2 linked regions of the Macaca fascicularis genome follow. The protein of the gene in region 1 interacts with the protein of each later gene in a biochemical or structural test. Links are inferred from orthologs where the notes say so. Each region holds a gene or a part of one and is shown on either strand. Other genes may lie near its edges. The genes, in order: SORBS1 and FLOT1.

Region 1 (3,808 bases):
CTTAGACATCTTTTATAAGCTGTTTTCAACCAACACTTACCAACTAATGATGTGATAATGCACTGTGTTGGGGACTGGGTTTTACAATATATTGGTGTGATCTAGTGGAAGAAACAGGTGCATTGATACCAGGAGAAGTTTGAAAAGCTTTGAACCCAAAAGGCACAAACCAGCTGTGCAGAATGTGGGAGTTAAATACTTTTTCCAAGCCACCATTTTCTTATAGAAAATAATGAAGATAGATGGCTCTCCCCTAGGTGGTTGTAAGAGACTTAGGTGAAACAGCTTATGTGAAGCCCCCAGCATGACACATGGTATCTGGTTTGTGCTTAGTAAACAGGAGATGCCAGTATCATTATCATCACCGTCATGCTTATTCAGACGCAATTACACTGTGCAGAGAAGTTCTTCTTTCCAGAATCCAAACACTCTACCTGGCAAAATTCTCTGGCTTCCTAAAGTTACTAAGTTACTGATTTTATTGAGGATTGAGGGAAGTGAGCACATGGGTTAGAAAAAGATGAACCATCTTATGTAACACTGGAAGCAACCCAATTTGCCCTACAGCAGGGGATCAGTAATTAAATCATTATATGTGTGTGCAACAGAATACCCTGCAGTGGTCCATTAAGCTGTGCAATGCCATTAAAAATCTAGAATTCTATTTTTTGATAAAGAAGGAGGTTTACTATGTACTATTAAGTATTTTTTAAAAAGCAAGTTGGAAAAGTATGGAAATACAGTTTATACTCAATTTTTATAAGAAAAAATATGTGAGGTTTAATTCACATGCGTAGAAGTAAATCTGGGAAGTCCATATGCCAAATATTAATAGTGTTTATCCCCAAATGACTATGTGATGGATGAAGATTGTTTTCTGCTTTATGTTTGTGTTCTGATTTTTCTATAATGATACATTATAAGTATTTATAATTCTACAAAAGAAAGAAAAAGAGAAACCCCCCAAAATCTTTGCCTTAGAGATGAAGATTGGATATCTGTTTCACATTAAATGAGTCAAAAACACTATATTTGTTCCCTGGCTTAGGGGCACAAATCTGATGTTCTCCTTTACTAAAATACTTAAAGAACCAAGGTAAACTTCCCAGCATCAAGGTAGCTCCTCTGCCATTAGCATCCTCATCCCAGTGGTGGTAATTCCCTCGGGTTCAGCAGGGAATGTTTTTGCTGAGCTAAGAATGTGGTAAACAATGCAGGACATTGAAGCATGCAGGCAGAGGCCCCAGGCATGCAGAGGCATGCTAGGACAAGGACCCTGTCTTTGCTGTGTCTTCCAGGGTGAGAGGATAACACTGCTCCGGCAGGTAGATGAGAACTGGTACGAAGGGAGGATCCCAGGGACATCCCGACAAGGCATCTTCCCCATCACCTACGTGGATGTGATCAAGCGGCCACTGGTGAAAAACCCTGTGGATTACATGGACCTGCCTTTCTCTGCCTCCCCAAGTCGCAGTGCCACTGCAAGCCCTCAGGTATCTAAGCTTCTCGTCACTGGTTTTCATACTCAGCGTGTGAGTTTTCTTAGTCAACAGTGCTGTTGGCACACAGCCTCTCTGGGGAGGTTTTTGAGCACTGCAATTAAAAACTGTCTGCAGGAGGCCGGGTGTGGTAGCTCACACCTGTAATCCCAGCACTTTGGGAGGCTGAGGTGGGTGAATCACCTGAGGTCAGGAGTTCGAGATCAGCCTGGCCAACATGGTGAAACCCTGTCTCTACTAAAAATTCAAAAATCAAAAAAAGATGGCGGGCGCCCGTAGTCCCAGCTACTCGGGAGGCTGAGGCAGGAGAATTGCTTGAACCCGGGAGGCGGAGGTTGCAGTGAGCTGAGATCACGCCACTGCACTCTAGCCTGGGCGACAGAGTGAGACTCTGTCTCAAAAAAAAAAAAAAAAAAAAAAAACTGCAGGAAAGCAGACTGTACACTGGACTTTGTCTTCATGCATACAAATGGCCTTTTCCAGTGCTTGGTTGAAGATATATTATCTCAGAGGAAAAGAAAGAGTCAGATAATTGCTCTGGGAATAAAGTGACTAGGGAAAGAGAAACAAGAGCCTCTATCAGTTGGTCCCTCCTGGGTGAAGCTGTTGGTGTGGGGACCACCACTGTGTCATAAATCCCATGGTCCAAATGTGGTCCTCAGTCATCTTGGCCAAAGTTGGCCTGCAGAAGACAAAGGCTGAAAGAGAGACTTACACCTTCTTCTTGTCAGCCACGTAGACCAGGTCCAAAGTGTTTGCATTCACCGGAACCAGGTTGACTGGAACAAGTAACTTATAGCATCTCAGTCTCAGTGGGCTGAAAGGATGTAGGTTTATAGGCATGGTAAGATGTTGGCTCTCCCAAACATTAATTATGAATAAACTTGTTTAGAAATATAAACTATTCCAAACTGATCCCCACTTTCCCAAAGCCAAGAAAATGTCAGAACCTTGAGTTCAGGGTGATATGGTGGGGGTGACATCCTGTGAAAAAGTCCAGCCAAACCACCATGTATGTTGTAAGGAGGTTGGCAGAGGAACAAGAGTAGGACCTGGGGGCCCAGGTTGACCCTGAGACGATGCCTCTTGTCTAGTCCTCTAATTGTTTCCTCCTCTGACACCTGCTCATCACTGACCCCAGTAGAGGGTTCTTGGCAGAAAGCATTAAACAGGCTTACCCAGGGCTTCCTGCACAGTGACAGCCGCATCCTGTTGTCTTATAGGACAGGGTGTGTGACTGGGGCGGGACATTCTGCTTTGTAAGGATGCAGAGAACTCAGCTACGTTTTTCACTTGACTGTAGCCAAGAATGATTGTAAAACAAAACTAGTACACTACTCATACTCCTCTCTGGAAGACTCTGCTGAGCTCCCAGAGAAAATAAAACCTCAGGGAAGGGCCATGGCAGTGCGGGGCCACCTTTCCCCATGGTTCCGGGTCAGGGATCTGGATGCACAGGGGCTGGGGGGCTGGGATAGGGAGCTTCCAGTGGGTCCCTTTGAAACTCCAATTCTGCAAAGCAGGCCGGCCTCATCCGTCACTACTCTGACGGGAACCTCTCTCCATCTCCACACCTGTGGCTGCTTCCTCCACCCACTGCCTGCACACATCAGGCTCATGTTCGCACATGCTCACATGCACACTCACCCATCCTGGTTTCTCCCCAGATGTAACCCAAGGATTTCCTTTTTGGACACCAGAGTGTCCTTGCGCATCCTCTCCATTTCATTCCTCTTTATATACCCCTTGTGATTATTTTCCTTCTTTTTCCTTTATGCTGACACTTGTACCTTTTGCTTCTTTCTTTTGTTTTCCTCTCTCTTCTTCTTTTTAAGTTTTCCAGTCACAGCAAGCTCATCACGCCAGCACCCTCATCTCTGCCCCACTCCCGCCGAGCCCTGTCCCCCGAGATGCACGCCGTCACCTCTGAGTGGATCTCGCTGACTGTGGGGGTCCCAGGCAGGCGTTCTCTGGCCCTGACCCCACCCTTGCCTCCTCTGCCAGAGGCTTCTGTCTATAACACTGACCACCTCGCCTTGTCACCAAGGGCCGGTCCCTCCCTGTCTCTCAGCCTCCCCCATTTGAGTTGGTCAGATCGTCCCACCCCACGGTCAGTAGCTTCTCCACTGGCCCTACCTTCCCCACACAAAACCTACGCCCTAGCACCCGCTTCCCAGGCCTCCCTTCACATGAATGGAGACGGTGGTGTCCACACGCCATCTTCAGGCATCCACCAAGATAGCTTCTCGCAGCTGCCACTGGGGAGCTCTGATAGTGTCATCTCCCAGCTTAGTGATGCCTTTAGCAGC
Region 2 (4,247 bases), on another chromosome or scaffold:
TCTGACTTCGGAGCCCTCGGACTACGCTTTGGACCTCAGCACTTTCCTCCAGCAACACCCAGCCGCCTTCTGACTTTGACTCCCCGCACTCCCCAAAAAGAATCCGAAAAACCACAAAGAAACACCAGGCGTACCTGGTGCGCGAGAGCGTATCCCAAACTGGGACTTCCGAGGCAACTTGAACTCAGAACACTACAGCGGAGACGACACCCAGTGCTTGAGGCGGGACTGAGGCGCACATAGACCGAGGCACAGCCAAGCTGGGGCTAAGCCCGGTGGGAATTAGAGCGTCGTTAATTTATTTCTTATTGCTCCTAATTAATATTTATATGTATTTATGTACGTCCTCCTAGGTGATGAAGGGGTGTACGTAATATTTATTTTAACTTATGCAAGGGTGTGAGATGTTCCCCCTGCTGTAAATGCAGGTCTCTTGGTATTTATTGAGCTTTGTGGGACTGGTGGAGGCAGGACACCTGGAACTGCGGCAGAGTAGGAGAAGAAGTGGGGAGGACCCGGGTGGGGGAGGACGTTCCGGCTGGGATGAAGCCTGGTGGTGGGTCGTAAGTTTAGGAGGTGACACTGCATCCTCCAGCATCTCAGCTCCGTCTGTCTACTGTGTGAGACTTCGGCGGACCATTGGGAATGAGATCCGTGAGATCCTTTGATCTTCTTGAAGTCGCCTTTAGGGAGAGGCTGCGGGGTAGAGGGTTGGGGGTTGGTGGGCTGTCACGGGGCGACTGTCGAGATTGCCCAGTATGTTCTGTGAACACAAATAAACTTGATTTACTGTCTGCAGTCTTGAGTGTATCTTTGCAAGCGCCGACTCCCCACTCCTCCCCGCCTTCAGATGGCAAGGAACGGCGGGAGGCGCCGTGGCCCAGTCCCCAGCCCGCGCACTTCCCTGGGCCCGGGAGCTCCTTTTCCTGGAGTCAACAGAACCCAGCATCCGGTTGCCCGATGCAGTCTTTCATTGCCCAGTCTGCGGTTTTCCCAGGTAGTTGCCCCGCGGCGAATCCGAGATGTGGCAATCACCCTTACGCCAGGGTGCCGGGCCGCGGAGGTCAAGTCCCGCGCCCGGGGGCGGAGCGTGGAGCTGTGTCGCCCGGCTCAAGAAGGGCGGTGATTGGGGCGGCAGGGATGTGGCCGCCCCTGGGCTAACCAGGCAGCCCGGCTGGGCCCGGGAGCCAACGGGTGGGCGGGCTGCGGACTCGAGCGGGGCCTGCCGGGAAAGGGGCGGGCCAAGCTCACAGGGCCGAGGCGGGGCGAGGTGGGGGTGCTTAGTTTGCTGCGGGGGGCGGGGTCGCGGCTGCAGCAGCAACAGGGTGCGGCCGGGTGGGGAACGCGGGAGCGGACCCAGGAAGGCTGGTCCGCTACCGGCCCCTGCTCGGCTTGCAGGTCCCTGCGCGCCCCCGCCCTTCCCTAGACCCCAGCCGGGCCGCCGCCGGTGTCCAGGAAGGTGAGTGGGGGAGGGGAGATGGAGCCTGGGGCTGCCGAGAAGCAGGGAGGGAGGGGAAAGATCTTCAGGCCTCTGGGCGCAGGGGACCTTTATCAAAGGGAGCGGCGAGGGGAAGGGAGGGACCGTACGCAGGCGGGGAAGAGGTCGCTGGGGATCTTCAGGATTTTGCAGGGAAAAGCTTTAGCGGACCCATGGGTGCGGAAGGGACAGGCTGTGGCGGATGCAGACTGAGAGGGCCTGACGGGAAAAGGAAAGGATGGGCCCTGTGGACGCCACAGCGCCCCTTCCCCATCCGCAATGGCTTTCCCTCCCTCTCCTCCAGCTCCAGCCTGAACCATGTTTTTCACCTGTGGCCCAAATGAGGCCATGGTGGTCTCCGGTAAGTACTGTTGTACCCTTCCCAGCCAGTGACCCCAGAACCCCTGTGAGTCTGGCCTCTGCCCCTTCTCCCTCTCCCTACCAGCTTCCCAGCCCCAGACTTCTGCCCCTTGATGACCACGAACTGCCCAGTTTGATTCCCACCATTCCAAGGCCCAGATTGCTTCCCCTCCAGCTCCCAGATTCTCTCCTGTGGGTTGCTGTCCCCTAGCCCCCGCCAGTTCCTCAGTCTTCCACATTCAAGCTCTGCCACAGTTCCTCACTGCTCCTCACTTTGCAGGGTTCTGCCGAAGCCCCCCAGTCATGGTGGCTGGAGGACGAGTCTTTGTCCTGCCCTGCATCCAGCAGATCCAGAGGTAGGCAAGAAGGGAACCAGGGAAGGGGAACCTCCCATTTTCTCTTTTTCCTCCTTTTCTTACTGTCTGTCCCTTCTTTTTCCCCTAGGATCTCTCTCAACACACTGACCCTCAATGTCAAGAGTGAAAAGGTTTACACTCGCCATGGGGTCCCCATCTCAGTCACTGGCATTGCCCAGGTGAGGCTTTCAGAGCCTTTTCCCCAAAGTCTACTTCCCCATCACCCTCTCACCCGGACATTAAGACATCTTCTGGCCACAGCCTTCTCGATCCTTGCCTGCAGAGAAGTTCCTCTGCTAGTCTCATCTTTTCCAGGCACCCTCAAGGCACTTGCCGCCTCCTCCTTTCTTTCCCTGAAATGGAAGAAGCATTTCTTTGAGGGCTCTCCCTTCTCTCTGCTTCTTCTCTGACTTCATGAGGCCCCCACCACACCTTTCCTACCCCTACTCTGGCTACAGGTAAAAATCCAGGGGCAGAACAAGGAGATGCTGGCGGCCGCCTGTCAGATGTTCCTGGGGAAGACGGAGGCTGAGATTGCCCACATTGCCCTGGAGACGTTAGAGGGCCACCAGAGGGCCATAATGGCCCACATGACTGTGGAGGTTGGCCTGGGGGCAGGGAACCATCTGGAATGATGCCAAAATGAGGGGGACCCAAGGACCACACTAGTCTGTGAGAGACAGTGGATCTAAGAGCTTACATCCCGGCCGGGCAGGGTGCTTCATGCCTGTAATCCCAGCACTTTGGGACACCAAGGCGGGTGGATCACTTGAGGTCAGGAGTTCAAGACCAGCCTAGCCAACCTGGTGAAACCCCATCTCTACTAAAAATACAAAAATTAGCTGGGCATGGTGGTGGGTGCCTGTAATCCCAGCTACTTGGGAGGCTGAGGCAGGAGAATCGCTTGAACCCAGGAGGTAGAGGTTGCAGTGAGCCAAAAAAAAAAGAAATCTTACATCCCCTCTCCCCACCATCCTGTTATCACAGGAGATCTATAAGGACAGGCAGAAATTCTCAGAGCAGGTTTTCAAAGTGGCCTCCTCAGACCTGGTCAACATGGGCATCAGTGTGGTTAGCTACACTCTGAAGGACATTCACGATGACCAGGTAAAACTGGGCAATTGATCCTTCCCCACTTCCTTGCTCCCATCTCTTAAGCCGTCCAAGGGACTAATTTCTACATCTCTCCCACAGGACTATTTGCACTCTTTGGGAAAGGCTCGAACAGCTCAAGTCCAAAAAGATGCACGGATTGGAGAAGCAGAGGCCAAGAGAGATGCTGGGATCCGGGTGAGAGAGATGGGGGTTGCTTAGTGGGAAAGGGGATAGAAGTGGCACAACTGAGAAGAAGCAGGGGTGCTGGGTTAGCAGGGAAAATACTTGAGGCAGACAGAGAACCTTGGTGGGAAGCAGGCTCTCACTGTGGCCTTTCTCCCACTGCCCTGACATTTCCTACCTGATCTCTGCTTGGACAGGAAGCCAAAGCCAAGCAGGAAAAGGTGTCCGCTCAGTACCTGAGTGAGATCGAGATGGCCAAGGCACAGAGAGATTACGAGCTGAAGAAGGCCGCCTATGACATCGAGGTCAACACCCGCCGAGCACAGGCTGACCTGGCCTATCAGCTTCAGGTCAGAGCCACTGCACTGGGCAGATGGCCAGGCTGCTCTCTGCCCCTTTCCCATTCCTCTCAGGCTGTCCGTCTCAGGAACCACCACTTCTCATATTCTAACTCTGATCTTATTCTGGCTCTCCATCAGTGGACCAGCTCCCCTATATGAGGAGAGATTTAAAAGACTCAGATGTTACAGCTGAAAAGCTTTAAAGAAAAGGCCAGCTGGGTGTGGTGACTCGTGCCTGTAATCCCAGCACTTTGGGAGGCCAAGGCAGGCTGATTGCTTGACCTCAGGAGTTCAAGGCCAGCCTAGGCAACATGGTGAAACCCTGTCTCTACAAAAAATACAAACATCAGTCAGGCATGGCGGCTTGGGCCTGTAGTCACAGCTACTTGGGGGATGAGGCAGGAGGATTGCTTGAGGCAGGAGGATCGCTTGAGC

The links.
Region 2: the proteins of SORBS1 (region 1) and FLOT1 form a complex in vitro, tested with the Homo sapiens proteins (2 studies listed by BioGRID). The link is inferred for Macaca fascicularis from reciprocal best matches to the Homo sapiens genes SORBS1 and FLOT1.

What each region holds. Positions count from the first base shown.
Region 1 is NC_088383.1:104,255,827-104,259,634, reverse strand, and holds part of SORBS1 (sorbin and SH3 domain-containing protein 1), read left to right. Parts: intron 1-1,298; coding exon 1,299-1,493; intron 1,494-3,334; coding exon 3,335-3,808. UniProt on the Homo sapiens protein: Plays a role in tyrosine phosphorylation of CBL by linking CBL to the insulin receptor. Required for insulin-stimulated glucose transport. Involved in formation of actin stress fibers and focal adhesions.
Region 2 is NC_088378.1:141,914,997-141,919,243, forward strand, and holds the start of FLOT1 (flotillin-1), read left to right. Parts: upstream 1-1,282; 5' UTR 1,283-1,459; intron 1,460-1,781; 5' UTR 1,782-1,795; coding exon 1,796-1,838; intron 1,839-2,117; coding exon 2,118-2,193; intron 2,194-2,281; coding exon 2,282-2,372; intron 2,373-2,651; coding exon 2,652-2,795; intron 2,796-3,180; coding exon 3,181-3,300; intron 3,301-3,387; coding exon 3,388-3,483; intron 3,484-3,668; coding exon 3,669-3,821; intron 3,822-4,247. Other genes in the region: IER3 (radiation-inducible immediate-early gene IEX-1), read left to right, coding at 1-73. UniProt on the Homo sapiens protein: May act as a scaffolding protein within caveolar membranes, functionally participating in formation of caveolae or caveolae-like vesicles.